3 linked regions of the Oryctolagus cuniculus genome follow. The protein of the gene in region 2 binds, or shares a complex with, the protein of the main gene of each other region. Links are inferred from orthologs where the notes say so. Each region holds a gene or a part of one and is shown on either strand. Other genes may lie near its edges.

What was found.
Region 1: the proteins of UBE2E1 (region 2) and SETDB1 are in contact, whole or in part, in a crystal structure (PDB 8IYA), measured with the Homo sapiens proteins. The link is inferred for Oryctolagus cuniculus from reciprocal best matches to the Homo sapiens genes UBE2E1 and SETDB1. Residues at the interface, in NP_003332.1 of Homo sapiens: Asn125, Ser126, Gln127, Val129, Cys131, Leu132, Lys136, Asp163, Pro164, Leu165, Val166, Gly167, Ser168; in NP_001138887.1 of Homo sapiens: Glu868, Gly869, Tyr870, Glu871, Ser872.
Region 3: the proteins of UBE2E1 (region 2) and TRIM21 are in contact, whole or in part, in a crystal structure (PDB 6FGA), measured with the Homo sapiens proteins. The link is inferred for Oryctolagus cuniculus from reciprocal best matches to the Homo sapiens genes UBE2E1 and TRIM21. Residues at the interface, in NP_003332.1 of Homo sapiens: Lys43, Lys50, Arg51, Lys54, Pro107, Phe108, Asn138, Trp139, Ser140, Pro141, Ala142, Thr144; in NP_003132.2 of Homo sapiens: Pro17, Ile18, Cys19, Leu20, Asp21, Glu38, Cys39, Gln42, Val43, Pro52, Arg55.

The regions. Positions count from the first base shown.
Region 1 is NC_091438.1:47,128,934-47,138,217, reverse strand, and holds part of SETDB1 (histone-lysine N-methyltransferase SETDB1), read left to right. Parts: intron 1-1,045; coding exon 1,046-1,202; intron 1,203-1,299; coding exon 1,300-1,458; intron 1,459-2,378; coding exon 2,379-3,020; intron 3,021-3,683; coding exon 3,684-3,800; intron 3,801-8,484; coding exon 8,485-8,654; intron 8,655-9,284. UniProt on the Homo sapiens protein: Histone methyltransferase that specifically trimethylates 'Lys-9' of histone H3. H3 'Lys-9' trimethylation represents a specific tag for epigenetic transcriptional repression by recruiting HP1 (CBX1, CBX3 and/or CBX5) proteins to methylated histones.
Region 2 is NC_091435.1:159,709,117-159,719,019, reverse strand, and holds the start of UBE2E1 (ubiquitin-conjugating enzyme E2 E1), read right to left. Parts: upstream 4,716-9,903; intron 4,469-4,715; coding exon of another isoform or gene 4,043-4,468; intron 3,957-4,042; coding exon of another isoform or gene 3,877-3,956; intron 3,805-3,876; 5' UTR 3,773-3,804; coding exon 3,621-3,772; intron 1-3,620. Other genes in the region: basic salivary proline-rich protein 2-like, read right to left, coding at 3,877-3,956, 4,043-4,468, 4,716-5,306. UniProt on the Homo sapiens protein: Accepts ubiquitin from the E1 complex and catalyzes its covalent attachment to other proteins. Catalyzes the covalent attachment of ISG15 to other proteins. Mediates the selective degradation of short-lived and abnormal proteins.
Region 3 is NC_091432.1:62,636,492-62,646,512, forward strand, and holds the start of TRIM21 (E3 ubiquitin-protein ligase TRIM21), read left to right. Parts: upstream 1-4,234; 5' UTR 4,235-4,393; intron 4,394-5,704; 5' UTR 5,705-5,752; coding exon 5,753-6,160; intron 6,161-6,965; coding exon 6,966-7,061; intron 7,062-8,144; coding exon 8,145-8,375; intron 8,376-9,768; coding exon 9,769-9,791; intron 9,792-10,021. UniProt on the Homo sapiens protein: E3 ubiquitin-protein ligase whose activity is dependent on E2 enzymes, UBE2D1, UBE2D2, UBE2E1 and UBE2E2.

The sequences.
Region 1 (9,284 bases), on a different chromosome or scaffold from region 2:
CCCACATGGGAGACCAGGAGAAGCACCTGGCTCCTGGTTTCAGATCAGCGTGATGCACTGGCTGTAGCGCGCCGGCTGTGGCGGCCATTGGAGGGTGAACCAACGGCAAAAGGAAGACCTTTCTCTCTCTCTCTCTCTCTCACTCTCTCACTCTCTCACTGTCCACTCTGCCTGTCAAAATTTAAAAAAAAAAAAAAAAAGCCGGCACCGCGGCTCACTAGGCTAATCCTCTGCCTTGCGGCGCTGGCACACCGGGTTCTAGTCCCGGTTGCCCCTCTTCCAGGCCAGCTCTCTGCTGTGGCCAGGGAGTGCAGTGGAGGATGGCCCAGGTGCTTGGGCCCTGCACCCCATGGGAGACCAGGATAAGTACCTGGCTCCTGCCATCGGATCAGCGCGGTGCGCCGGCTGCTGCGGCCGTTGGAGGGTGAACCAACGGCAAAGGAAGACCTTTCTCTCTGTCTCTCTCTCACTGTCTACTCTGCCTGTCAAAAAAAAATTTAAAAAAAAAAAAAAAAAAAAAAAAAACCAGCAATATACTAGCATCTCCAGTCACGGTATATGGGAATTGAGTCTTCATATACATTTAATGTTTCTTTTTTTAATATTTATTTATTTATTTGAAAGTCAGAGTTAGAAAGAGAAGGAGAGGCAGAGAGAGAGAGAGAGAGAGGTCTTCCATCCGCTGTTTCACTCCCTAATTGGCTGCAACGGCCAGAGCTGTGCTGATCTGAAGCCAGGAGCCAGGAGCTTCCTCCAGGTCTCCCATGTGCATGTAGGGGCCCAAGGACTTGGGCCATCTTCTACTGCTTTCCCAGGCCATTGCAGAGAGCTGCATTGGAAGTGGAGCAGCCGGGTCTTGATACTGGCACCCATATGAAATGCCAACACTGCAGAGGCGGTGACTTTACCTGCTACGCCACAACACTGGCCCCTTAATGTTTCCATTGCTGCTTTTTGTACTGTATAAGTTGAGAATCAGGTGTGTGAATGAGAACAAGTCACACAGCTTTCATCCTCTCAGCGATCAGTTTCCTTTTTCCTGTAGGTGCGGTGAGAAGTAAAGGCCCTGTTGTCCAGTATACACAGGATCTGACCAGTACTGGGACCCAATTCAAGCCAATGGAGCCCCCACAGCCTACAGCCCCACCTGCCCCACCCATCCCACCTACTTCACCTCTGTCGCCTCAAGCAGGTGACGCTGAGTGAGTGCTATTTCTTGTTTTTTTTTTTTTCCTTCAGTTTCTTTCATATTACATTTCCTGCATCCCTTACTATATGATCTATTCTCGAATCTCCTAGAAGCTTGGAAAGCCAGCTTGCTCAATCACGGAAGCAGGTAGCCAAAAAGAGCACATCCTTTCGACCAGGATCTGTGGGCTCTGGTCATTCCTCCCCTACATCCCCTGCACTCAGTGAAAGTGCCCCTGGTGGGAAACCTGCAGTCAACCAGACGTATAGGTGAGAAAAAGCTTGGGTTGTCAGGGGGCAGGTTGGCGATATGAGCTGAGTAGAAAGTCCTTGGCTCCAAGGGGGTTAGGTTAAGGGTGTGATGGTAAGGAGTTTGGACTTAAAAAGGAAGCTTTCGCTTTAGAAGCTTTTTAGAAAGTAAGAATAATTGAATTAGGAACTTGGTACCTGGAAATATGTAATCACCAGTAGGCTTTTAATAAAACTTGTGTTTTCTTTTTTAAAGATTTACTTATTTAGTTGTTTGAAAGATAGCTACAGAGAGAAAACAAAAGGGGAAGGATCTTTCATCTGTTGATTTACTCCCCCAATGGCCTGGGTTGGGCCAAGCTATCACCAGAAGCCAGCAACTCCATCCTGGCCTCCCATGTTGGTGGCAAGGGCCCAGACACTTAGGATATCTGCCAGTGCCTTCCTAGATGTGTTAGCAGGGGGCTGGATCACCAACAGAGCAGCTGGGACTCTTAACTGGTGCTCTGATAGTGGATGCCAGTGTCACAGGTGGTGGCTTAACCCACAGCATCACAATTTCAGCCTGTTTGTTAAACTTCTTGCTATCATTGCTGTAATAGAAAGAAAATACTGTAGTCTCTTTCCTTGAATCCTAGGAGCTATTAAGGACTTTGGTAGAAGACTGACTTCTTCTTCCATAATTCACGGGCAAATACATTTTAGGAAAAGGTGTACTGTTGAAAGAGAGAGAGATAGCTATCAGTCAGTGACAAGTAACCAATTTTCATTATTCAGGTTTGTTACGGCAAGGCAAGATCTGACTTTCTTGTGTCATCATTAGTGTTAAGGGCACAGCTACTTAAAAGATGAAAGAAATGGCTTCGCGAGCTGGAGGGGTATTTATACAGTACGAACACCCTGGTTGCCTTCTTACCTCATCTTTTGCATCTCATTTGCAGGTCACCTTTAGGTTCATCAGCCTCTGCCCCAGCACCCCCGGCTCCTCCAGCACCCCCAGCACCCCCAGCACCCCCAGCCTTCCATGGTATGCTGGAGCGGGCCCCTGCAGAGCCCTCCTACCGTGCCCCCATGGAGAAGCTTTTCTACTTACCTCACGTCTGCAGCTATACTTGTCTGTCTCGGATCAGACCTATGAGGAATGAGCAGTACCGGGGCAAGAACCCTCTGCTGGTCCCACTACTGTACGACTTCCGGCGAATGACAGCCCGGCGCCGGGTTAATCGCAAAATGGGCTTTCATGTTATCTATAAGACACCCTGCGGCCTCTGCCTTCGGACAATGCAGGAGATTGAACGCTACCTTTTTGAGACTGGCTGTGACTTCCTCTTTCTGGAGATGTTCTGTTTAGATCCATATGTTCTTGTGGACCGGAAGTTTCAGCCCTATAAACCTTTTTACTATATCTTGGACATCACCTACGGGAAGGAAGATGTTCCCCTATCCTGTGTCAATGAGATTGACACAACTCCTCCACCACAGGTGGCCTACAGCAAGGAACGGATCCCTGGCAAGGGTGTTTTCATTAACACGGGCCCTGAGTTTCTGGTCGGCTGCGACTGCAAGGATGGGTGTCGGGACAAGTGAGTTGGTGGAGGAATTGCTGCTCCTGCCACAGTTTCTTGTGGTTGCCTTTCTTTTCACTTCTTTTGCTTTCTGTCGGTATTGCTTTCTCCACCTCCCTTCACCTCCTTCCTCAGCAGGAACTCCAGCCTTAAGGCCACCATGAAAGCTGTGAGGTAGGGAGACTGAAGTCCAACAGGCCCCAGTGAGTAACCCCGGGTACCTGTGCTTTATGTTGTTTCTGATTTATTTATTTATTTAAAAGGAAGGGTGACAGAGGAGAGAACTTCCATCTAGTTAACTCCCAAAATGGCTGCAGTAGCTGGGGCTCGACCAGGTAACAGCCAGGAGCCAGGAACTCCATCTTGGTGTACTATCAGGGAGCTGGACTGGAAATGGAGCAGCTCTGAAATGGAATGCTGGCGGCAGCTTGACTCTCTGTGCCATCCTGCTGGTCCCTGTTTGCTTCTCTGATTCTCCCCCTTTTCCTGTTTCTCTCCATCATACTTCCAGTTGCCACTTTGTTTCGTTCTGTCTCTGTTTTATTCTCACTCTGCCTGTTTGTTTCATTCTATCTCCTTGTCTTTCTCTGTTGGTACTCTGAGAAAAAAAGAAATTTATTACTACATCTCCATCCTTTTATTATTTCTCAACACTGTAGTTGTCATATCCTTCTTACACAGGTCTAAGTGTGTCTGCCATCAGCTAACTATCCAGGCTACTGCTTGTACCCCAGGGGGTCAGATCAACCCTAACTCTGGCTACCAGTACAAGAGACTAGAAGAGTGTCTGCCCACAGGGTAAGTGTCAGGGGATTGGCTACCTCAGAGATTGAAGAGCATTTTCTTATTTTTCTGTGCTTAAAGGAACCATCAGAAATATAAAAATTGGAACAAAAAATAGAATACAGAAACAGATATTTTATTAATTTTAAATTTATATAGCATGTTTTTTCTTTTGGCTTTCTTTGAAATGAGAATATAGAATGATTGAGTAGTATCTAGTAATTTCTTGTTGTGGGAAATGATCTTAATTTCATAGCTGTATGAATGCATTAACCAAGTGTGATTTACTATAGCAAGTGAAATGTGTTCAAAGAAGTAAGCAGGGATTTGATTATATAGGGCTTTGTAAGCTAGAATAAAAAATTAGAATCAAGTTTATGGTACAGTAAGAAGGATTTTGGAGGATTTTAAGCAGGCAAGTGATGTGATCTGCCTTTTCAGGGTGACTCTGGCTCCTTTGCAGAGCATATTTCTTAGGGCAACAAAAGCAGGATTTGCAAGACAGGTTAGGGGATGATTACAGGAATATAGGCAAGGGAAAGGTAGTAGTGAGTGGAGTTTATACTAGAATGAAGGTGGCAGTGGAGATGAAAGATTTGGGATGCCTTAGGAGGTGAGCTACAGAACTTGGTAGATGGACTGGCATAGGAGGGAAGGAATGGAATCAAGGACAATTTCTAAATTTGCTTGAACAACTAAGTAGATGTTGTCACCTTTTACTGAAGGATGGGTGTCAGGACAAATGAGTTGAAATTTGAGTGAAATTCAGCTTTTGTTTTGGTCATCTTAAATTTTAGAAACTTCTTGGGGAATCTAAGTGGAAATGTCAAGAGGCAATGGAATTTTCTGGAAAGAGGTATGGGAGCTGGACAAAAAGGTTTAGTGATTATCAGCACAAATGTAATATTTAAAGCTTGCACGTGTTCCCCTGGAGAGAATGTTGACAATAGAGAAGGAGGCCCAGGAATAAGCCCTGGGTGCTCCAACATTGGGTGGGTGAGCAGAGGAGGTGAGGCAGCATGAGAGACAGAGAAGGACAGGTCAGAGAAAGGACAGACAACAGAAGAGAAGGAGGTGTCGTGGTAAGTTGGTGTATATGAACATGTGACTAACAGATCCAGTGTGCAGATATATAATTAACAGAAGAGGAGAAAAGCATTGATTAAATAGTTTAGAAATTTGGTCATAATTGAAAAGTGTGTAATTCCCAATTTAAAGGGCCAATGAGGTCTTAGCATAATAAGTGTAAATAAATTCCACTGAGATAGGAAAAAAATGAGAACACTGAGGATAAAGAACAAATCCTAAAAGCCTCTAGAAGAGTGAAATAGACCACATTAAAAAATAGATTTGGGGGCCAGCGCTGTGGTGTAGCGGGTAAAGCCGCTGCTTGCATTGCCAACATCCCATATGGGCGCTGGTTCAGATCCTGGCTGCTACACTTCTGATCCGGCTCTCTGCTATGGCCTGCAAAAGCAGTGGAACACGGCCCAAGGTCTCGGGCCCTGCACCTGCGTGGGAGACCTGGAAGAAGCTACTGACTCCTGGCTTTGGATTGGTCCAGCTCCAGCTATTGTGGCTATTTGGGGAGTGAACCAGTGAATAGAAGACCTCTCTGCCTCTGCCTCTGCCTCTCTGTAACTTTGTCTTTCAAATAAATAAATAAATCTTAAAAAAGTTTGAAATTCTAGCCTTTCCAAAATAACACAGGAAGCTAGAGGGCAATTAATTATTCAAAATTCCAAAGGAAAATTATTTCCAACATAGAATTCTAAACTCAATTGTTAAAATAGGCTAAGGATATTTTTTAGATGCACTGTAAAGTTGTTCATTATTTTTCTTTTCAAAAAGTACTAACAAAAGGAAGGGAAGAAAAAGTTACTGGCCATATTTACCAAAATGAGGAGAAAAACCCAAGAAGAGGGAGGTATACAGTTCAGGGGACACAGAGTACAACTCAAAAGAGGAGCATAGGAAATCCCCCCAGATGATAGTGGGGGGAAGGAGGACATCCAGCTGACAGCCTATAGCCAGTGCCAGTGCAGGAGAGCAGGGATCTCAGAGGAGATTGAGACTACTGCGGAGACGGGGTGAATTTGTGTGAAATATATAGACAGCTAAGCAAGGGAAAGACAGTTACTAATTTTAGATTACTGGTTTTTTTTTTTTTTTTTTTAATGGATTGATTTGAAAGAGTTACAGAGAAGCAAAGGCAGAGAGAGAGAGAGCTTCTATCCACTGGTTGGATGGAAGATCCAAAGAAGATCCCCAAATGGCCGCAACAGCCAGAGCTGCACCTCTCCAAAGTCAGGAGCTGCTTCAGGTCTCCCACGTGGGTAGCACTTGGGCTGTCTTCTGCTGTCGAGGGCCATAGCAGAGAGCTGGATCAGAAGTGGAGTAGCCGGGTTTTGAACCAACACCCATAAGGGATGCCAGCGCTGCAGGCAGCAGCCCCTTTATATTTTAATTTTAAATTCTGTATCTTACAATAATGCTTAGATTTCATAATGCTGGTAATTACATGGTGTTCATTACATCTTTTTTACATGTTTAATGCATAAAATTTTTTAATAACCACAATGTTACTCCCCTGCTTAAAAACTCTTAAATAGCTTCCCACTGCATTTGGAATTTTATTCTCTTAACCGTGGGTTATAAAATCCTGTACTACCTCCCCTCCCCCATCCTCACTCCTTCCAGAGTTGCTCCAGCTACGCTGATGTTCTTCAAGGTTCCTGGATTCAGTTCACCCCATGTGTCCCGCCTGCCTCTGGGGCCTTTGTACATGCTGTGCCCTCTTCTTGGCATCCTTCCACTGTTCTTTAACCTTGAGCTCTCAGTTTTAAACTCACCTCCTCAGAAACATCTTCCCTGGTCACTCTAAATCTAAGTTTCACCCCCTTAATTCTCTCACTGAACTTCATGTGTGTGTTCTTTATAGCATTTATGACAATTTCATTTGTTGACTGGATTTTCTCTTTTCCATTAGAAGGCAGAGGCTCTGTCTTGTTCACCATTGTATCACAGGAGCTAGCTTACCCAGTGTCTGGCACATGGTAATGGTTCCACAAAAGGAATGAAAGATACTTAGCATTACTACTCTGAAGAGTTATTGGTAGTAATTAGGGCTGGCGCCGTGGCTCAATAGGCTAATCTTCTGCCTTGCGGCACCAGCACACCGAGTTCTAGTCCCAGTCGGGGCGCCAGATTCTGTCCTGGTTGCCCCTCTTCCAGGCCAGCTCTCTGCTATGGCCCGGGAAGGCAGTGGAGGATGGCCCAAGTGCTTGGGCCCTGCACCCACATGGGAGACCAGGAGAAACACCTGGCTCCTGCCTTCAGATCAGCACGGTGCGCCAGCCGCAGTGGCCATTGGAGGGTGACCCAACGGTAAAGGAAGACCTTTCTCTCTGTCACTCTCTCACTGTCCACTCTGCCTGTCAAAAAAAAAAAAAAAAAAAAAAAGTAATTAGACCTGAGTTCAGGTTCTGGTCTTCCACTTTGGAGCTAATCCTGTTATCAGCTATAAATAGGAGATATTAATACTGACACCCACACTCTATCCCCAAAGGGTTTTAAATGACCTAACAGACTCTTTCTTTATCTGGTGCTGGTTAACACAGTATGTTTAGTCTGAAAATCCATTGACTATGAACTTTTCTGTATATTTTTCTTATGTATATTATACTTTGAAAATCTTCTTTAAAAACTTTTAAAAAATACCATTATAGCACTGCTTTGAAGATAGATAGAATAAGAGAGTGTAAATTATGCAATTTACATAGCAACAAAACAAAGTGTATGTTCAGTAAGTAGAACTGCTCTTACTGTCTTTATCCAGAAGGATGTGACTAATGTCATTAGCCAAGAAATTGTTTTATTATCCTCTTCCCAAAAGTAAATGTCTCCCTGCAATTTATACCAAGAAGTATAATCCTAACAGTGAGCAAAGCAAATCAAGCAGAAGCATTGGTACCCGTAACATTTCCAGTCTTATCAGCATAGCTGTTTTCTTCCTTTAATGTTCATATTTGCTAGATCCCTCTGATTAACTTTAATAGTTTGTTTTAAAAGTAATTAAGTTGTTAAATTCTTCAACTGATTAATTCCTTTAAGGTAGAGATTATGACCTCTTTGATTATTCCCAGTGTCTAGCACAACTATTATTATTTAATAAGTGTTTACTGAATGATATGATGAAAACCAACTTTACCAAAGAAAAGTCCCCATAAACATCCATACCACCTTCTCTTTTCTCTTTAGACATTATATGTGTGTGTGTATAATATATATATATTGATATATATATATATATATAAAATCAGTATATCAGCCTCTGCTTTTCTTACGTATCTTTATGCATCTTTTTTCTGAAAATTGACGGACTCTATATACTTATTTTAGTGGCTCTGTAATCTGTATTCACGTCATGGTTTTCTTAGCCTCTTTCCAGGTGTTAGGAATTCTGGCATTCACTATTAGAACACTGCTATAAACATCGTTAATTCCCTTCTAAGTTATTTCTGTGAGCTATATTCCCAAATAAATGAAACAGCATAGACAGTTCAGTAAATCCACTCAGATCATTACCTAATTTTTAATCTTTACCCAGGACACATTGTAAGTAATGATAGCTTAAGAATTATAACTGTTTTGTGCGTTTCTATTGCTCATCTCATGGTTGATCTTTCTAATCTCCCAGGGTATATGAGTGTAACAAACGCTGCAAATGTGACCCAAACATGTGCACAAACCGGTTGGTGCAGCATGGACTACAGGTTCGCCTACAGCTATTCAAGACACAGAACAAGGGCTGGGGTATCCGCTGCTTGGATGACATTGCCAAAGGCTCTTTTGTTTGTATTTATGCAGGTTGGTGATGGATATAAAGGTTGTTTCCTGGGTCTGGGATGTGGTGGGGAAATGAACCAGATGCAAGTTGAGCTTACGAATAATGTGCTGGACATGTGAACTGAGAGAGAGAGGAGCCAGGGCTCGCTTCTGTAGAGAACCTGTGGAGGTTCACAGAGAGGGACACAGGGCTTTGGAAAGACAGAAATAAAAAAGGGGTAATGTTTTAGACGTGATGATGTTCCAGGGGAGAGACATGATTGCAGAGTCCAATGTATTGTCCTCCCACGTTTCTCCACCCAAAGATTTTTTTTTTTAGCATGGCTGAGAACTGTTGTTAAAGAGGAGGAAATGGGCCGGCGCCGCGGCTCACTAGGCTAATCCTCCGCCTAGCAGCGCTGGCACACCGGGTTCTAGTCCCGGTCGGGGCGCCGGATTCTGTCCCGGTTGCCCCTCTTCCAGGCCAGCTTTCTGCTGTGGCCAGGGAGTGCAGTGGAGGATGGCCCAGGTGCTTGGGCCCTGCACCCCATGGGAGACCAGGAGAAGCTCCTGGCTCCTGCCATCGGATCAGCGCGGTGCGCCGGCCGCAGCATGCCAGCCGCGGCGGCCATTGGAGGGTGAACCAACGGCAAAGGAAGACCTTTCTCTCTG
Region 2 (9,903 bases):
CCGACCGACCGTCCCCACCGGCCTCGGCGGGGCGCCGGGGCCCGCAGCCCAGGCCGGGGAGGCGGCGCTCGGGGTCTCCACTCCACACCCAGGCGGGCGGCTTCCGACCTGGCCTGCGCACACCCAGCACACCTGCTTCTCCGTGCGCTCCCTTTAGGCAATCGTTTTATAGGGTCCAACCCGCGCGCCCCGCTCCCGGCTCCTTCCCCTGAGCCTCCCCTCTGCCCAGAACCAAGTCCCGGGAAGGACGCGACCACCTCGGGCCGCCCTGCGCCGCTAGGCCCGCCGCGGTCCATCGCGCCCACCCCGGCAGGCAAAGGGTCCCAGCACCAGCCCGACCCCGACCCCGACCCCGGCCGCCCGGCGCCCTGAGGCACGAAGCCAACATGGCCGCTCCCAGCCCCCTCGGGCCCTCCGGACCTGGCCGCCGTGGTGCCGGGCGGCCCAGGCCGCGGGCGCGCCTCGCCGGGGAGCAGCCGTCGCCGCCCGCGCCTCGGCGCCCCGACCCGCGCGGCCCGGCGAGCCCACGCGGGCCACGCTCGGCGCCGCCCCTCTCCGCCCACCCCGCGGCCCACGCAGGTGCAGCGGCCGCGGCCTGCGCCGCACGCTCGTGCCGACGCCCGGGCCGCCTTAAGGACACACGGCCGGCCCGGGGGTGCTCCCTGGGCAGCGCCCCACCCCCACGCCCAGGCCAAGCCCGCAGGCCGTTCGCAGGGGCCTGGCCTTTGTCTCCGGCTCACCTACGAGCTAGGCGCATCAATGGTTTCCACAAAGTTTGGGGCCTTCGGGCGTCTCCCACCTTCTCCGCGGTGCCTATTTCTATAACCACGCGAGGCCCTACCTGGCTGTGTCACAACTCAGAAATCTCGCCCAGGGAAGACACGCGTGTGCACGCACACGCGCGGCGATCTGAATCACAATGCGTGCTTTTCTCTCCCCTAGGGTTTTCTGAGGGTAGGGAGAGAGGCTAGCTGCCTGCCAGGAGGCGTGGGTTTTCCAAGGCGCTGTCTGCTCCACGCTAAAAGCAGACAGAAATGAAAGGTGACAACTGGGAAGTTCTTGAAAGCTTCCTAATGGAGGACATTTCCTGTCCCCCACCCATCTGGTCAGCTTTAGAAAGGGGCAGCGTGTCCCGAGACAGCAGGCACCCCGGCCTCTCTCCTCCTCATTCAGCTGCTGCTGTGCGCCAGGCAACAGGTTCCTCCCCGAGCCCAGGGCATAGAAAAACACAGGGCTTCTTCACTTCTCGCCACCCCAACTCCTGCTATAAAACTTTCACTGAAGAGGTAGTTGCTTCTTTAATACCTAAAATGTGTGATGCGGGCAGCCCTATGGCCACTTCATCTGGACAGCCAGTGCTTGCCCATTTCCAGAACACGGTGCTGGCCAGAGATTAGCAACCCGCTTAATGACAGTGGCTCAGGCCACTGTCCGAGGGGGCCTTCCTCTGCCCTGGCGTGGAGACCACTTTCCAATATGCAGTTCGGCTGTAACCGGTTACTCTGCCAACCCGGGCTGCCTTCTCACTGTGCCTCCTGGTACTTGGGGCCCTACACCAACACCTCCCTTCCAAGCCCTTCTATTTCACAGAGCAGTTCTACAGGTTCTCACTAAATAACATCCTTCTTCCCCTCTTACTCTTTCCTAGATACACGGTCTCTCTCCATTTTTTATCTTTGGCTATTAACCTTAGCTCTGCTTTTAACACCAACAGCCACTTGGTCAGCAAGCTATCTTGGAGAGTTAAATTCATTGGAGGAAAAAAACAAAAGCCCTGATGTTAACTGATTGGAAATTACTATTTGCAGCCCCAACTGTCATCCCAGCCATTTCCAAACAACTTTTTAACAATTTCTGTCTACTGAAAAAAAATCCTCCTGTCACTACTGTTCACGGACCCAAAGCAGGGTATTTTGTATTTGACACCTGCCTTTACCCCACCCCCACCCCCAGGTATTCCAGGGTTTCTATATAGCAGGGATGTCCCACAAAATATAAAAACACTAACAACCTAAAGCAAATACCCTGCCTTGAGCAGGTCAGGGAACCTAAAGGCTTGGGGGAATGGGAGGAGTTAAGGAACGGCTTGTCCAGCCAGGCTCCCATCAGCGCCGGCCAGAGGCATCAAACCAGGCCGCTGACAATTAGAACCATCTTGCCACGGAACCCCAGACCCCCACGCCATGTAAAACAAGCACAAGTCACTCCCTCATCAGCCCATGGGTAAATCACCAAAACACTTGACCGAATTTTCAGTGACAGAACAAACTCTGCACGTACAAACTGCAGGCTCCCTCCTCAATGGACAGACCTACAGCCCCAGATTCCATCTGATTTCAGATTCTTTAAGTAAGGTGTCTGAACTCAGCACTTGGATTCCTGATAGCCACTTTAATGACCAGCCGAGAACAGGAGGATTGATGAGTGGGTGTCTGGGGGTTCCCAGGAACTTACTACAGATTATTTTAAGGGTCAAGGGCATCACGGGTATCACTCAAAGACAGCGACAGGGCTAACAAGTGGTCACCTCCAGAGACTTGAAGAAGAAACAGCCACTGCTTGGCTTCAAAGGTGAAGCAACATTTTTACAGCCTAAGAGCAAACAGCATGAAAAAACCATGCCTCCCCGAAATCTGGTAAGTAGACATTCTTAGTAGCAAAACTGAATCCTCAAAATAACCATTTTACAACCATTATTGATCCATTTGCTTCAACCCTCCAAATCAGAAAAATCTCTTTAAATTCCTTCAGAAAGCATGTCTTCACCTACTAAATCTTTTTTTAAAATAAAACATGTATTTATTTAGAAGGCACAGGAAGAGAGAGGTCTTCCAGCTGCTGGTTCATTCCCCAATTGCTGCACAGCCATGCCTTAGTCCAGCCCCAGGCCAGCAGCCAGGAACTCCATCTGGGTCTCCCACAGGGGTGGCAAGGACCCAGGTATTTGGGGGTCCTTTATCCACAGCCCCCCGGGAGCAGTAGCAGGAAGCTGGTGCTGAGACTCCATCCCAGGCACCCCAATATGGGATGCTGGTATCCCAAACATTATTTTATCCCACTTCGCTACAACACCAGTCCCATCTACTACCTACTTACCTACCTACCTACCTATCTATCTATCAATCATCTATCCATTCATCCATCCATATATTTTACCACCTAACGAGAGCCATTTATTCCTTATGCAATTTGTAGAGAAAACACTATTAAAAAATATCATCTGTGCAACAGGTGACCAAAAAGGAAAATGGTCCAAGAATTCATTTTGCTAAGAGTTGCCTGGGCAGCTATTAGTATGAAGAACCCGATGACAGCTTTGGGGAGGGGCACAGATTACTGATTAATAGGACAAGCCAACTGAAACCAGATTCGAGGGTCACCAATGAAAGTGATGCAGATTCTTCCAAACTTGAGCAAGAAATGGAGAGAGAGGCAAGCCGCCACGGTCGCAAGTGGACAATAATTAAAAAGAAAAACACAAGCAGCGAAAGCGACAGTCAGGAGGACTTTCAAGGCCACGTCTTTCATTTCGGGGGACACAGCCCCGCGCACACCGAGCCGGCCCGCATTGGGAGGCAGGCACTTGGAGACAGGGAGCCTGCGGAAAAGCGGGCACGTACCTCTTGGCGCTGGTGGAGAGGAGTTTGGAGTTTTTGCTCATGCTGACTTTACTCTCCTTCTTCTTGGGGGTGTTTGTTTCTTTCTCGGTTTGCTGGTTGGAGGACGAAGATGAGGAGGAGCTGGTGCTGGCCCTCGAATCGTCATCCGACATAGCGAACCCCCCACCCACCCCGCGAACAGCCCCTGCAGCGGGGAGGGAGACAGAACAGAAACAGACAAGCCATGCAGGCGGTGTAAACAAGGCGGCCGGTGCCGTCAGGGGCGCCCGGGCCAGGGTGCCCCCCGCCGCCCACCGCCCAACACGCGCTCCCCCGAAGTCCGCAGGCCCAGCGAGGCTGGTGCAAGTCGGACGCGGCTTGCTTGTTTTGGGCCCAGGTGGGGGCCGCGGGAACAGGGGTCTGGGGCCCAGCGAGCTGCCCACCAGGCCAGAAGGGGAAGCCGAGGCGGCCAAGCAGGGCCGGGCCGGGAGGCGAGGTCCGGAGGCGGCCGGCCTCGGGGCTGTTTTTGTCCGCTCTCCGGGGGTCGCGGGGGGTCGGCGGCCCAGGAGGCCGGGGCGGGGGGTGGGGGGAGGCCACGAGCGGAGTTTGGCGAGGTCGGGACGAGAGCAGGGGCGGGAAGGAGTGAGAGAGGAAGCCGAAACGGGGGGCCGGGGGCGGGGAGCGGGTGCCCGGGTGGGGGCAGGGGCGGCGAGGCCCGAGCGCCCCCCCACACACACACACTCCCGCGCCGCGCCCCGACGCCCCTCCCCGCCGGCCTGGCCCTCGGTCGCCCGCCCCCCGGGGCTGCGCAAGCCGGGCCGGGGTCCCGGGCACACGCCCGATCGCCCCCCGCGGAGGGCCAGGGGAGGCTGTGGGGGGGGGGGGCCGGCCTCCGCGGCGAGGGAATAACAATGCGCCCGTCGGCCCGGGAGGGGCTCCTCTCCGCCGGCCCCCGTCCTGGGGGCGGGGGGGGGGGGGACACACAGCGGGGCTCCCCCGACTCCCCCTCCCCCGCTCGCGGCCCCCTCGGCGGCCAGTGGGGGGCTCCCGGGGCCGCGCTGACAGTTCGAGCCACAATGCCCCCCCACCCCCCGCCCCGACGCGAGCGGCCCGCACCCCACGCGGCCCGGAGCCCCTGCCCATCCCCCGCGGGCGGGCCCCGGACCCCTGGGGGCGCCCCCGGCCGCCCCCCTCCCTCCTCCGGCCCCGCGCCCGGCGGCCCGGGCGGCGCGGGCGTCCCCGAGGCCCGGGCGGCGCGGCCGGGGGGCGGCGGACGGCGGGGGGGATCCCCGTACCTCTCTTTGTGTCTGGCTCCTCCGTGCCGCCGCGGCGGCTGCTGCTGCGGCTGCGGCTGGGCCTGGCCACTCGTGTCTCGCTCTCGCTGGGAGAGAAGCGGAAGTGCAGCAACAGCAACTATTAAACAGGCAATGGCTTCCCCCAGCCACACACGCTCGCGCTCCCCACCCCTCCTCCTCCTCGCCTCCTCCTCCTCCTCCTCCTCGCCCCGCCCCCGCCGGCCCGCACCCACCCACCGCGCTTCCCTGCCCCCCCGGCCAGCCCTCCGGGGGGCGCACAGGGGACCCGGGGGACGCCGGCCCCGCGCCTCCGCCGCGCGCCCGGGGAGGGGGCCACGGCTGTGAATTGCAAGTGGCCCGGGGACCCGGGTTCCGGGCGGCAGAGAGGTGGGGGCGCCGGGAGCGACTGGAACTAGACGGCAGAGGGGGTCGCGAGAGCAAGTTCTTCCCGACCAGAGGAGTTGGGGCGGGGTGGGGGGGGCTTGCTGCTGGCCAGGACTTCGGACCAGAGCCGACCCCGGGAAGTCCTCCTAAGTGAGGCGAGAAACCCCAGCACGGGGTTAGCGTGGGGTTGCTTCGCTCCTGGCCGTTTACCTGCCCGGAGCGAGGTCAGCCCGGGCACGCACGCCTGGGAGCAAACCCCAGCCAGGAGGTACCTGCTCCAGGCACGAGGCACGTGCGATTCTACAATGTCAGATTCTGCCAGTCACTTTTTTTTTTGGGGGGGGGGGTGGAAAGTGGTCCGGTTTTATAAAAGGGATACAGAGGATTTCGTGACAAGTGAGCCAACCTGTAACTGGGGAAATCACGCACGAACTGAACTAGACCGCACTGAGAATTGTTGCTGTCCGCGTGCGTTCAGGTATCTAGCCTGACTTAGGGAGAGTGGATGGAAAGTTCTGGGGACCGCTGGACTTGCTTGAGCTACAATATAAATGCTGTTCAAACCCTAGTTTTAGAATAATCACAGGCATCCTTCTAAATTGTTCCTTATTTCGCCTTTTTACCAAAAATCATTTTTTTACTGTCTTAAGCCATCAACGCGATTTGGCGACGTGGGTTTTGTCACTTCAGTTGCAGGGAACTGAAGAACTGTGTGCTGTCCAAACACAACAGTTGCTCGCACACAGGGTCTTGTACGTAGAGAGCCCACTTAGACTTCCGTGGGCCGCTTTAAATTATTCAAATTGCCCTCATTTCCCGTGACAACAGAGGCCTCTGTTACCAGAGGACAACACAAAACCTAAGGCCGGTGACATAGCCAGAAATCAGGAAAACAGGTCTACTCACCACGCAGCTGAACTCCTTTTAGCTTTATCAAGACTCATAAAGTAATTGTGCACGCTTCTTGCTCAATCCTTACCAGGAAGCGACCACAGCAGCAGCTGTTGGAGGTTCCAGCAGCCCAGAGCCAAAGGAACCTCACGGGGCCTTGATCAGGGTTTGGGAAAGATCCCCAGACATAACCTTGCTCAGTCTTTGGTTTCAAGAGCCGGGAAGAGCACATAAAACGCTGGCATTTGAAGACAAAAACAGGTTGTATGCTTTTTGTATTTCTGTTGAAAAAAATGTAGATTCAAAAGAAAACAGTGAGCAAACAGATGAACTCAGGAAAATCAAGGCTGTTATTAAAATCGAGATTTCCTCTTATGAACACTTGGAATTCCGATGCTCAAAAACACGTGTACATTATTAGTGCAATTGGTAAAATAATTAAATGTACAAAGAGGAGGACTGACAGAGATCACAAGAAAATGAAAGGTTTGATTTGCTGAAATGACCAGTGACAGATGAATTTTTTTCCTTAATATTGAGCTGCAGTAATCGTGTAGTTGGCCACTAAGTATAATAATTTTTTTAAAAAAAAACCTGCACATGGCATTTTGTTTTATCATTGATGCTTGGTTGGACTAGTCCCGGGGGAAATCATGGACGCTAAGGACTGCTCAACCCACGCTTTCTCACCCACGGGTCTGTAGACCCCAGCCCACTTTCCTGGACCATTCCCTCAAATACACACTTTTTTAGGTTAGTGCTTTATGGTTTTAGAATGACCTGCCAAGGGGGAATAAAAAAACCTCAAAGTGTTTAGAGAAGAATCCACTGCTCCCCAAAGACAGGTTTGTATCAGATTATTTTAAACATTTGGTTGTCTTGGCGGGGGGGGGGGGGGGGGGGGGGGGGGGGACTGCATTTACCACCTCTGGCTCTTCTACTGACGGACACAAGGCCTAGGGAGCCAGATTTCCTTATCTATAAAGATGCTGACCGGCGACATCAGACATGTATCTACATGAAGCTGTTTTATTCACTGGTACCCAGAGCTGATCACAGAGTCCACCCTGGTCCTACTCCTCAGAAATTCTGTTAGGACATGGAGTCTCTATAACTTAGAGTGGACAACAAGTACAGTATAAGAAACCTAGGGCCAGCGTTGTGGCACAGTTGTTAAGCTGCCATCTATGACGCCAACGTCCCATGGGGTCTCAGCTGCCCTGCTTCTGATCCAGCTCCCTGTGAATGCACCTGGGAGAGCAGTGGAGGGTGGTGCAAGTACTTGGCCCTCTGTACCCCTGTAGGAGACCCGGATGAAGCTCCAGGCTCCTGGCTTTGACCTGGCCCAGCTCCAGCTTTTGTGGCCATTTGGGGAATGAACCAACAGATGGAATCTCCCCCCCCCCCACTCTTGGGTGCTCTTCCTTTCAAATAAATCAAAGAAAGGAAGGGGGGGCAGGAAGGTTGGGGGAGAGACAGAAAGAGAGAGAGAGAGAAAGGGAAAGGGAAAGAAAGAGAAGGAAAGGAAGTGAGCCGTCCAGTGGGGCTGGGGCTGTGGGCCCCCAGAGGTGGGTAGAATGTCCTTCACAAGCAGGTAGCCAGCTGTGGCTACAAAGCCTGTCTCCAGACCTGGCGGCATCTCCCCTACTGTAGCTTCCTGTGCTGCCTGTGTGACCTTGTAGCTTTAAATCACGCCTTCAAGTTGCAATCTTCCACCGTGAACTAGCAGAGGGGCCTGAGCCCCTAAAGAGAGTTGGGCTGTCTCCAAGAGAGCCCCGCTACCTCCATGAGCCTCAAGCCAATCAACATACCGTATGTGACCCTTCCCCAACCCCTGTCCAACGGGCATCCCCAGAGAATGACCCAGTGAAAAGATAGCAATGCCTTAAAAACCCTGGGCACGTCCTCAAAGCCAGTGTCCTGCACGGGCACCCCGCCTGCTCTCCTCTCGGACAAGTTGCTTTTCTGTCGCCTGTCGATCAAATACAAGTTCTTGCTTCTTTGCAAATTGCTTCCCAGCTTTTTCTTTCTATACAGAGCTCAGGAAAAGAACCCACGAAACCCGCTCCTGCATCTGCCCTCCCCTCTGTGACCTGTGATAGGAAGGAAGGGAGGGAGGGAGGGAAGAAGGGAGGGAGGGAGAGAGGGAGGAGGGGAAAACCTTCCCTCCAGGAGAAAGGTAAAGGGGAGGAATCATAAAATCCTATTACTGAAAGGGGCTTCAGATGGGGAAATGAAGGGGAAGAAAGCCAGACATCTTTGGCAGGACTGCTTAGGACGCCACACTGTCCGTACATGATCTTGTCAATTCTGGCAGTACGATGTAGGGGAAGAGACTTCATTACATCAGAGAAAAATATACTCAATCTAAAAATCTCTGATAGGGCAGGCCTTGTGGCACAGCGAGTAAAGCCACTGCTTGCAATGCAAGCAGCCAAATCAGAGCGATGGTTCGAGTCCTAGTTGCTCCCCTTCCAATCCAGATCCCTGCTGATGCACCTGGGAAGTCAAGGCATGATGGCCCAAGTGCTGGGGCCCTTGCCACCCAGGTGGGAGACCAGCATTGAATTCCTGTCTCCTGATTGCAGCTTAGTCCAGCCTTGGCCATTGGGGCCATTTAGGGGGTGAATCAGAAGATAGAAAAATCTCTGTCTTTTCCTCTACCTCTGTCACTCTACCTTTCAAAAAAATTTATATATATACATATATATACGTATATATATATAATGTATGTATGTGTGTATAAAGAACTCTGACAGTATTTTCAGAAATATATTAACCATCATAAATTGGAATCATAGTTGGAAAAGTAGAAAAATGGAAGCAAGCTCATTTAACTTAAACAAATGATTCCTGGGGCCAGCATTGTAGTACAGCAAGTTAAGCTACCACCTGTGACACCAGCAGTGCTGGTTTGAGTCCCAGCTGCTCCACCTCTGATCTAGCTCCCTACTGATGTGCCTGGGAAAGCAGTGGACAATGGCCCAAGTGCTTGGGCCCCTGCACCCACCTGGGAGACCCAGATGAAGCTGCTGGCTCCTGGCTTCGGCCTGGGCCGGGCCTTGTGACCATGTAGGGAGTGAACCACTGGATGGAAGCTCTCTCTCTTTCTGTCTCTTCCTCTAACTCTGCCTTTCAAATAAAGAAATTTTTTAACAAAACAAATGACCCCTCTTGAAGTTCCCTGCTCCTGGCCCTGAGAATAATCCTCATTATTTATGTGTTTTACCTTTACAGATCTATTTTAAACAGGTAATCCATTTTTGTGTTATATTAGTCTAAAGAAAGCAGAAAACCAGGGGGTGTGTCAGGGAAATACGCTCCTGCCCCACCCTCGGTGTCCCTGAGAGGGAGGGAGGCCGTGACCCGTGCCAGCAAACGCACACACGCGTGTTACATGCCTTGATAGAAAAACGCCCCTTACACGCGTCTAGCCACGGAGGCCCAGGCCGTGTGGCTCAGCGACAGCCCGCGAGGCTTGAGAAAGTGTGCCCCAGCTTCCCAGCACCTGTTCCTGGTTCTCAGAATGATCCGACTCTCCTCTCAAGGCATCTGTAGTGCATCAAGTGCTCCGAAGTAGAAGCTCTTGAAGATCGGGGTGCTGGATTCCGGAGGAAGAGACCAGGTCTAACTTCCGACTTTGTCAGTTACACCGAAATGCCAGTACGGCCAAAGGAAACCAGTTTCACACTGAAGAACTGTCAAGCAAATTAACATTCGTTAAGACGGCTTTT
Region 3 (10,021 bases), on a different chromosome or scaffold from region 2:
CATAAGTTCTGGTATAAATTTCTAATCAGCAAGCGATATATGCTAGCCCTTTTTTCATACCTAGTATAAACATGCTTTTTAGAGAATCGATGGGAAGGTAGAGATGGCTCCTGTTACTATTAAACTCATTTACAGGACATTTTCTTTCCCTTCCCCAACACAGGGTTCAGCCAGTTTCTACTCAACCCTAGAAAGGGAGAACCCTTTCCACTAGGGAAAGGAAACTGACATTTGTAACTATCTCCTGCTCTCTGGCACTTCTTTAGCCACTAAGGAAATAGGCAGAGGATATTTCTACGTTAGCAGGAACTGACTTATCCCTATTACCAAGGAGAACTTGGGTTGTTGGTACCCAACAGGGACAATGAGGACTATTCCTAAAACCCAAAGTATACATTGGAGAGATTCCTCATTCTTATGGTCCAGTGACAATAGCCAGTGTGTTAGGCAGGAACATTACAGACACTGAGCCTTTAGAAGTAAAGATTTGGGTCACTTACCCCGGAAAAGAACTCTGAAATACAAAAGTACTAAGCCGGCGCCGTGGCTCAATAGGTTAATCCTCCACCTTGCGGCGCCGGCACACCGGGTTCTAGTCCCGGTTGGGGCGCCGGATTCTGTCCCGGTTGCCCCTCTTCCAGGCCAGCTCTCTGCTATGGCCAGGGAGTGCAGTGGAGGATGGCCCAGGTGCTTGGGCCCTGCACCCCATGGGAGACCAGGAAAAGCACCTGGCTCCTGGCTCCTGCCAGGATCAGCGCGGTGCGCCGGCTGCAGCGGCGGCCATTGGAGGGTGAACCAGCGGCAAAGGAAGACCTTTCTCTCTCTGTCTCTCTCTCTCACTGTCCACTCTGCCTGTCAAAAAAAAAAAAAAAAAAAAAAGAAATACAAAAGTACTGTCAGTGAAGGCTATAAGTGGCAAATTTGGTCTTACAGTTCCTACCTTGGTAATTTTCTGTAACAGTTATGCATATGTTGTGTTAATGATCTATGTGCACATTATTAGCCATACACTAAAATAACCTTGTAGAGTATGCATTAAAATCTCTGATAAGGAAAATGGATAGGCAAATAGCTGGTAAGTAGCAGTGTCAGCAATGATGGTACACCTGCCTTATTATGAAACCTATGTCTTTACTACCCCTCCTGTCAGTAGCTACTCAATGCCTGCAGGAAACAATACAGGGTTTTTAGCAATCCTTAAGATTTATGTATTTGAAAGGCATAGTGACACTCTGGCCTCAGAATCAGCCCTTAAGGCATTCAGATCTGGCTGAAAAGCCCATGAGAGTATTTCAGGCATGGAAAGCCAAGACACTCTGGGGAAAAAAAATGACCTAAATGAAAGATCTCTGAGTGAGATCCCAGTGGAAAGAACAGGTCATCAAAGGAGGAGGTACTTTTCTCTGAAGGGAGGAGAGAACTTCCACTTTGACTACAATCTTGTCTAAATATGATCAGAGTCAGTGAACTCAAAAGGCTTCCATAGCCTTGGCAACTCATCACAAGAGCTTAGGGTGATTACTGATGCCATAAACAAGAGTGTCAATTTGTTAAGTCAACAACAGCAGTCACTGTGCACTTACTCCCCATGTAGGATCTTTGTCCTTAATGTGCTGTACATTGTGAATTAATGCTATAACTAGTATTCAAACAGTATTTTTCACTTTGCGTTTCTATGTGGGTGCAAACTGTTGAAATCTTTACTTAATATATGCTAAACTGATCTTCTGTATATAAAGAGAATTGAAAATGAATCTTGATGTGAATGGAAGGGGAGAGGGAGCGGGAAAGGGGAGGGTTGCGGGTGGGAGGGAAGTTATGGTGGGGGGGGAGACATTGTAATCCATAAGCTGTACTTTGGAAATTTATATTCATTAAATAAAATTAAAAAATAAAAAAATTAAAGGCATAGTGACAAAGAACTTCTGTCCCCTGTTTCATTGCCCAAATGCCCATGATAGCTAGCCAAAGCGAGGCCAAGAGCCAAGAACTCCATTGGGTCTCCCACATGGGTGATAGAAATCTGACTATTTGGGCTTTCATCCAGTACCACATTAGCAAGAAAGTGGATCAGAAGTGCTGATTAGTAGTGGGACTCGAACCAGGCACTCTGAAGGATGTGAGCATCCAAAGAAGTGACTTAACCCACTATGCTATAATGCCTATCACCCAGAGTTATTTTCTGAGAGTCTAAAAGCTCTGATACAGGTCTCTTCTTGCTTGATTTTTAAAAAAGATTTTGAGAGGTAGAGTTAGAGAGAGGGAGGGAAGGAGGGAAGGACAGACAGAAAGGTCTTCCATCTGCTGGTTCACTCCCAAAATGGCTAGCTGGAACTGTGCAATCTGAAGCCAGGAGCTTCTTCCAGGTCTCCCATGTGGGTGCAGGGGCCCACAGACTTGGGCCATCTTCTTCTGATTTCCCAGACCATAGCAGAGAGCTGGATCAGAAGAAGAGTAGTTGGGGCACGAACCAGTACCCGTATGGGATGCCATCACCTCAGGCAGAGGCTTAGCCTACTACAGCACAGTCCTGGCCCCTCTTCTTGCTTTAGATTTTTTAAACTGTTTCCATTCTGTTTTCTGGGACTGTTTAGTCAAATCTGAGTACAGTGGCACCGTCTGACCATTAAATGTCACTTGATAGCCTTTCACTGAATATAAGTTCTGAAAAACCACTGAAAATTTCAAAGTATGAAGTTTTTTAGGTTTCCTAAGTCCATAATAAATACTAAGGAAAGTTCAACTGATATTTTTATTTTAAGTTATAAGGGACCAAAAATTCTGAGTTAGGATTGGGAACTTTCCTGGCCTTATCACTCTTCCTTTTTTCTCTTTTGCAGTTTCTGACCATGCCCCTATTAGCTGTTCGCAGCTTCTGCTTGAACCAATGCAACAATCTGTTAGCTCTATACTGCCCCTAGAATGAGGGTCTTCCTGCACCTTCCACAAACATGTATCAATGTTTTCAACGTCACCTCAAGCAAGCTGCTTCATCCATTCAGCCTCAGCACCCCTCCCCTCACATAAACCATAATAACCCTTAATCTGCCAAATTATTATGTGACTTACATAATATAACCTAACATAGCAACATTATTCTCAATAGTCAAAAGGTAGGAGGAACCCAAGTATCCAACATCAGACAAATGGATAAATAAAATGTACATACAATGGGATGTTCAGTCTTAAAAAGGAAGGAAATCCTGACATGTGATACAACATGGATGAACCTTGAGGACGTTATATTAATGAAATAAGCCAGCTGTGAAGGTACATATTCTAAAGCTGATTCCACTTATATGAGGCACCTAGAGTAGTCAAATTCATAGAGACAGAAAGCAGATGGTGATTGCCAGGGCCTGAGAGAAAGGAAATAGTAAGTTATTGTCTGGGTACAGAATTTCAGCCTGGGATGATGAAAATGTTCTGGAGCAGATGGTGGTGATGGTGCCACAACAAGGTGAATGCACTCATTGACATTCAATGGCAAACTGAAAATGGTTAAGGTGGTAAATGTCTCATATTAAAATAACATACTGTAGAATAGTGGTTTTTTTTCTATTTAACCCTACACTAAAGAGTTAATCTCATGAGTTATACAGTAAACTGAAAGATCATCCTAAAAATTGAGGGAATAAGAGGAAGGAGGGAGAGAAGGATGAGAAGTATCACTAGGTTCCTAAATCTGTAGATGAGTTACATGAAATTTGTTTTATCTTAAATATCAAAAATAAAAATGATATAACCTGAAAATATCCTTAGCTCAATGACAAGAACCCAGCTGGTGCTCAATAAAATGTCAGCTCCCTTCCTACCACTGCCCCATGTGATATCCGCCTCAGAGTCCTGAGGAATAAATCTCCCACCCCTGGAGGTCACCAGAAACATGAGTCCGATGGGAAGCAACTGTTTCGGCTGTCAGGAAGCAGGTGGTGGAGGCCTGTGAAGGAGAGAGCCAGGCATCCTTTGCATCCAAACCTCCTGAATAGCAGCTCCCAGAGGTGCACATAGCATTCAGGTACGAGGTGATGGCCGGTGTCAAAGCATCGATTTTTTTCACTAAGATAGATGACAAGGACAGGAGGAGGAGTGTACGCCCAGATGACATGTTGCTGAGGTTTAACTGGGCTGTGACAACTCCCCCGGCTTGGCTCTGTCTTCCCTCCTCCCACTTTTCTTTCTCTGCCCTGCTCCTTCTCCCCTACACCCGGTCATCCCCTGCCTCCGCCCTGACCCCGCCCAGTCTCTGCCCTGTCCCTCCCACCACCCCTCCCTCATCCTCCTCCCTGGGGCCCCTCCCCTTTCTCCTCCCACTCTCCTCCCTTTTCCGTTCAGACTGGCCTCTTAGAGGAAATTGAAAGTGAAATAGAGAGCTGTTGAATCGCCTGATCAGGTGAGTGAACCCGGCAGGACCACAGTACCCCTTCTTGCCTGGGTGGGGGAGGGTCTCTCTCCCCTGCCTCTGATTCTCTCTTCCAGCTACTCACTAACCCTAGAGCCTTCAACCCCACTGGCCCCGACTCGTTCAACCCAAGCCCAGCCATTCTTCCAGCACTGGCCGGTCTGCCTGAGAGGAGGCTGGGCTGAGTGTGACTTACAAACCACAGGGATGGGTGGAGCTCAGGCTGCTGTAGTGCAGGTACCTGAACTGGGCCAAGGGAAAAGGTGACCCTGGGTGTAAGGGAGCTGGTGGGTGCCCAGAGGAGCCCCCTGTGGAAGAATCCTCACTCTACTAAACTGGTCCCCAATCTCCTGCTAGAAAGGGAAAGGGCAGGCTGTTTAGGGTGTTCAATTAGAAACTTATTTAGGTTCAAGATTCTTTGCCCTAGAGGAAGTGCACAGACATATTCACATCTGTAGCAGAATATTTCAAAGTTAATGGAAATGGAATTTACTTTTGGTGCAAAAAATTGGAAATCCATGCACCCATTCGTAGTATACATTTTCTGTGAACTTTTTGAAGACCCCTTATGAATTTTTTAAGATTTTATTTTATTTGAAAGGCACAGTTGCAGAGGCAGAGAGAAAGACCGCATGCTCTTCCATCTGTTGGTTCACTCCCCAAAGGCTGCAGTGGTGGAGCTGAGCTTATCAGAAGCCAGGAGCCTACTGTTTCTTCCAGGTCTCCCATATGGGTGCAGGGGCCCAATGACTTGGGCCATCTGCTTTCCCAGGCCATAGCAGAGAGCTGGATCGGAAGTGGAACTAGCACCTATATGGATTGCAGGCAGCGGCTTTACCCACTATGCTACAGTGCCACCCCCCCCATGAATTTTTATGTATTTCATATATATGGGAGTAGAACAGAGAGAGACTCTTGCCATTATATTGAACAGTAGTGAAGATATTATACAAAGCACATAGCTCCTCTCTGACACATAGAAAGCACCTGGTAAATGACTGCTCATACTATGATTACCTCCTCCAACCTAGGCTCTGAGGATGTAACCCAGATGGACATGATGAAGTAGAATTGTCAGCAGACTTATCTGAGTCTCTCCCCCGTTTTCTCCTCGTTGGAGGACTCTGTCTCCCTTCTTCCAACAGGATCACTGGGCCAGACTGTGGAGGAGAGGCTCCTGCTGTTTGGGTTGATGTTCTTGTCTTCTCTTGCTTGGCACCACCAGCTCATCTTGTTTTCCTTTGCATTATTGTGTTCCTGTCATGCAGATCTCTTCTTTTCTGTTCCTTCTTCCCCCACCAGAGCACCCCAAGGTCTGCACAGTGCTGCCCAACAAGGACTGTCACTCCCATGGCTTCTGCAACGCCCCTGGCAATGATGTGGGAGGAGGTCACATGTGCCATCTGCCTAGATCCCATGGTGGAGCCCGTGATCATTGAATGCGGTCACAGCTTCTGCCAGGAATGTATCTCTAATGTTGGGAAAGATGGGGGTGGTATCTGTCCTGTGTGCCGGAATCACTTTCTGCTCAGGAACCTCCGGCCCAATCGGCATCTAGCCAACGTGGTGGACAACCTTAAACAAAACAGCCAGGCTGCCAAGGATGAGCCACAAGGGCAGCGGTGTATGATACATGGAGAGAAACTTCACCTGTTCTGTGAGGAAGATGGGCAAATCCTCTGCTGGGTGTGTGCCCAATACCAGAAACACCGTGAGCACCACACAGTCCCTATTGACGCGGCTGCTCAAGAGTACCAGGTGAGGCCTTCGCAGAGACATGGACAGATCCAAAGGAGAGGGGCTGGGTGAGTTTTGTTACCTCTGGAGTTCAGAGGTTGGGAAAAGAGGGATACTTTCCTCCTTTCATGTCCAGTCTAAACACAACCTTCTCATTAGAGTAGTGGATACACTCTGTGCAAATGCTATGAAGTCCATGTTTCCTTGTGGACTCCTGATAAATTAGGTGTGAGAAATGCCCTCATCCTGCCATGCCAGTAGTTCTTTTTTTTTTTTTATTTTTTGACAGGCAGAGTGGACAGTGAGAGAGAGAGACAGAGAGAAAGGTCTTCCTTTGCCGTTGTTTCACCCTCCAATGGCCGCCACGGCCGGCGCGCTGCGGCCGGCGCACCGCGCTGATCCGATGGCAGGAGCCAGGAGCCAGGTGCTTTTCCTGGTCTCCTATGGGGTACAGGGCCCAAGCACCTGGGCCATCCTCCACTGCACTCCCTGGCCACAGCAGAGAGCTGGCCTGGAAGAGGGGCAACCAGGACAGAATCCGGCGCCCCGACCGGGACTAGAACCCGGTGTGCCGGCGCCGCTAGGCGGAGGATTAGCCTAGTGAGCCGCGGCGCCGGCCAGTAGTTCTTTTTTGTAAGACGCATGATTTGGGCTTTTTCCACAGTCTGCCTATCCACCAAATGCCTACCCTAATCAGACCCCAGTCCTCCCTCCTTCTCTGTGTTTAGGCTTTATTGAAGAACCAGAATGATCATCTCCCACCCCAAGCCACTCCACCCTACTTCTTGGTTTCGTTGGGATTAACCTGTTACTTTGTTTTTGGCAGGAAAAGCTCCAGGTGGCATTAAAAAAGCTAAGATGCCAGCAGGAGTTGGCAGAGAAGTTGGAAATAGATGTTGCAATGAAGAGAGCAGAGTGCAAGGCAAGAGACACTTCTTGATGGGGTGGGGGGGGGTCAGAAGGCTGGGCAAAGTCCAGGGTCCTAGTATCAAGAAAGCCTTAACCTGAGCTATGTCTGAGAATGATAATTGCCATATCACACCCTCTGGGAACCAGCCATCCTCTTAGTCTCCAAATAGAGAAGAAAAAAAAAAAAAAAAGGAGAGGCTCACAGGAGAACTCCCAATCAGGAACAAAGAGAATTATTGAACAACTGTTCTGCGAGGGCCAAGCTACATCCTAGGGCTCCCTGCTCCTCTGAGCCCAGACTCAGGGTATGTATGACAGCATCAGAACCTCAGTGTCTGGAGCAGGGGTATTCCAAGAGAGAAGCCCCACTGCTATGCCTTTAAGGAGATGAGAGGAGCTACAAGGAGCAGACCTCCAGGATCCATCCAGGCCTGAGATGGAAAAACCAATCTGAACAGGTGGTGGCATCACTGTGCCGAGGCCACTGGTTGAAAGCATAATGCAGAAGTAAAGCTTGTTCACCACTGGTGACTTGCTAGTACAGGGGAGGTGTGAAGAGTGAAAGGAACTCGAGGCTAACGGGCTCCCGGAAGAGAGGTCTGGGAGTGGGGAAGGGTAAGTCAGGATTTGGTGGCACAGGGGGCCATCCTACATCATGAGCTGACCATCCAGTTACCAGCAGGAGAAGGTGAGCAGAGAGTGTCCCAAAGTCACCCTCTGCCAGGACTTGGGAATAGCACTGTGAGCCCATCTCTGTGAAACCTCTGGGAATGGTTGAATATCAGATATGACTGATATTCAAACACAGATCTGGGTGATAACTGCCTTTTGGAATAGAGGTTGAAGAACATCTCTGATACTAAAGGTTGATGCAGCTGGGGTGTAGGCCAGCGACAACATGCCAGCACCAATCATACTCTGTTTAGTCCCCAAAGCCTCACCCACCTATCTCCTCAGCAAAGGGTGTGTGTGTGTGTGTGTGTGTGTCTGCCTATTCACTTGAGTCTCCAGGTGACAGAAATAGGTTTCAACTTCTACCCCCAAAGCCTGGGAGATTTTCACAGAAACCTCCTCTATCTTTCCCTGGACACCAAAGACAAAGGTTGAGATGCACAAGTCCAGGATTCATGCAGAGTTTGTGCAGCAGAAAAACTTCCTGGCTGAAGAGGAACAGAGGCAGCTGCAGGCACTGGAGGCAGAAGAGAGGGAGCAACTGAGAATCCTAGGGGAAACAGAGGCTGACCTGGCCCAGCAGAGCCAGGCCCTACAGGAGCTGATCTCAGAACTAGAGCGGAGGAGGCGGGGCTCGCCGCTGGAGCTGCTGCAGGTGAGACTGGGAGTTGGGCCCAGAGAATAAGCGAAAAAAGCTAGAACTCTGTAGCTACCATTAACCCAAAGGCAAACCTGGTGTCCGTAATATTCTCATTTAAAACAAACTGGAATTTGGACCCATACATGGTTTGCATTCAATCTATAGAAGAGCCCAGAATTAGGAGGGAATGGTCCATCCGGCAATTAACAGATGTGGACATCCCAGGTCAGTGTTCATTCTAACACGTACCAACTATGAAACCCTAAGAAAGTTCTTTCATCTTTCTGAGCACTGGGTTTCTCATATTTTAAATGGATATTTGGAACTGGCATTGTGGCACAGCAGGTTAAGCAACCCTCTCTGATACTGGCATCCCATATGGGCACCGGTTCTAATCCTGGCTACTCTACTCCAGATCCAGCTCCCTGCTGATGTGCCTGGGAAAGCAGTGGGAAACTACCCAAATCCATGGGAGACCTGGACTTCTAAGCTTCTAACTTTGGCATGACACAAGCCATTTGGGAAATGAATCAGCAGATGGAAGATCTCTCTCCTCTTCCCTCTCTCTGCAATTCTGTCTTTCAAATAAATCTTTTAAAAAATGATGAAATCCACTAAAGCTCTTATATAAGTGTCTACCCATGGGAAGGTTTTAATAAATGTGATAGAACTGAAAACAATGAATGGAACATTGAGACTAGCTGCCAAGTCTCCATTACTCTAGGTTAGGTCATTTTCCTTTCCTGGACCCAATACATTTGCCTCACTTTGGGAAACTGCGGATTAAATGGTCCCAGAAGTCCTTTCTGCTCTAACGTTCTTACCATTCCCTTCTAGTGTGAAAAGGCTGATTGTTCTGACTTGACTTGACAGGCTCTCTTTCACCCGACTTTCAAGTAGGCTTCAAGTACACTCTTGAGTGGGCCTTAAGACAGTCAGTTCCCATGTAAGGGCTCCCACAACCCCTGCAACACAACATTCTAGAGTAATTCAATTTCATACACAGGAATAGGTAGCCAGCACAGCATTAACCAACCAGCCCTCCCTCCCAAACAGCTCAAGCCCACAGGGAACTAGGATGGTTTCTGGGCCTCTTATCCCAGCCATTCTCTCCCTGAGACTGCATGGGCTATCTGCCCACTTGCAGCTGCCTCCCCGCTTTGCCCTCCCCCTAAGAATATGGTCTTTCTATTCTGGTTTCTGAGTCAGTCGTCTTTAACACCCCTGCAGTGTTTCTGGTTACCCCAGAAGCATCACATGTCCTTGATGCTTCAAGCTAGTCAGAATCCTCTTCGGAGCCTCAGCCCAGGGCAGTGAGGCAGAGCAGAACCCCAGACACAGGCTGCTATCACATCACCCATGGGACTGAGGTCTTGGCAGTGAACTTACTCTCTGTCTTTTTTCTTAGGAAGTGACAGTTGTCCTGGCAAGGTAAGAGGGGTTTTATTTATTAAAAGAGGGGGCAATATTCAAGCTGATTTACCTCAAACGGTAGAGTTAGAAACATACCAGGGGATTCCAATTCAATCCCATCAAGGTGGCATGTACCAATGCCATCTCACTAGTCCCAGTGATCAATTTCTGTTCACAATTGATCATAATGATAGGACTAAGAACCAAAGGGATCACAGAAACAAGAATAGTGTCTGCAAATACTAGCT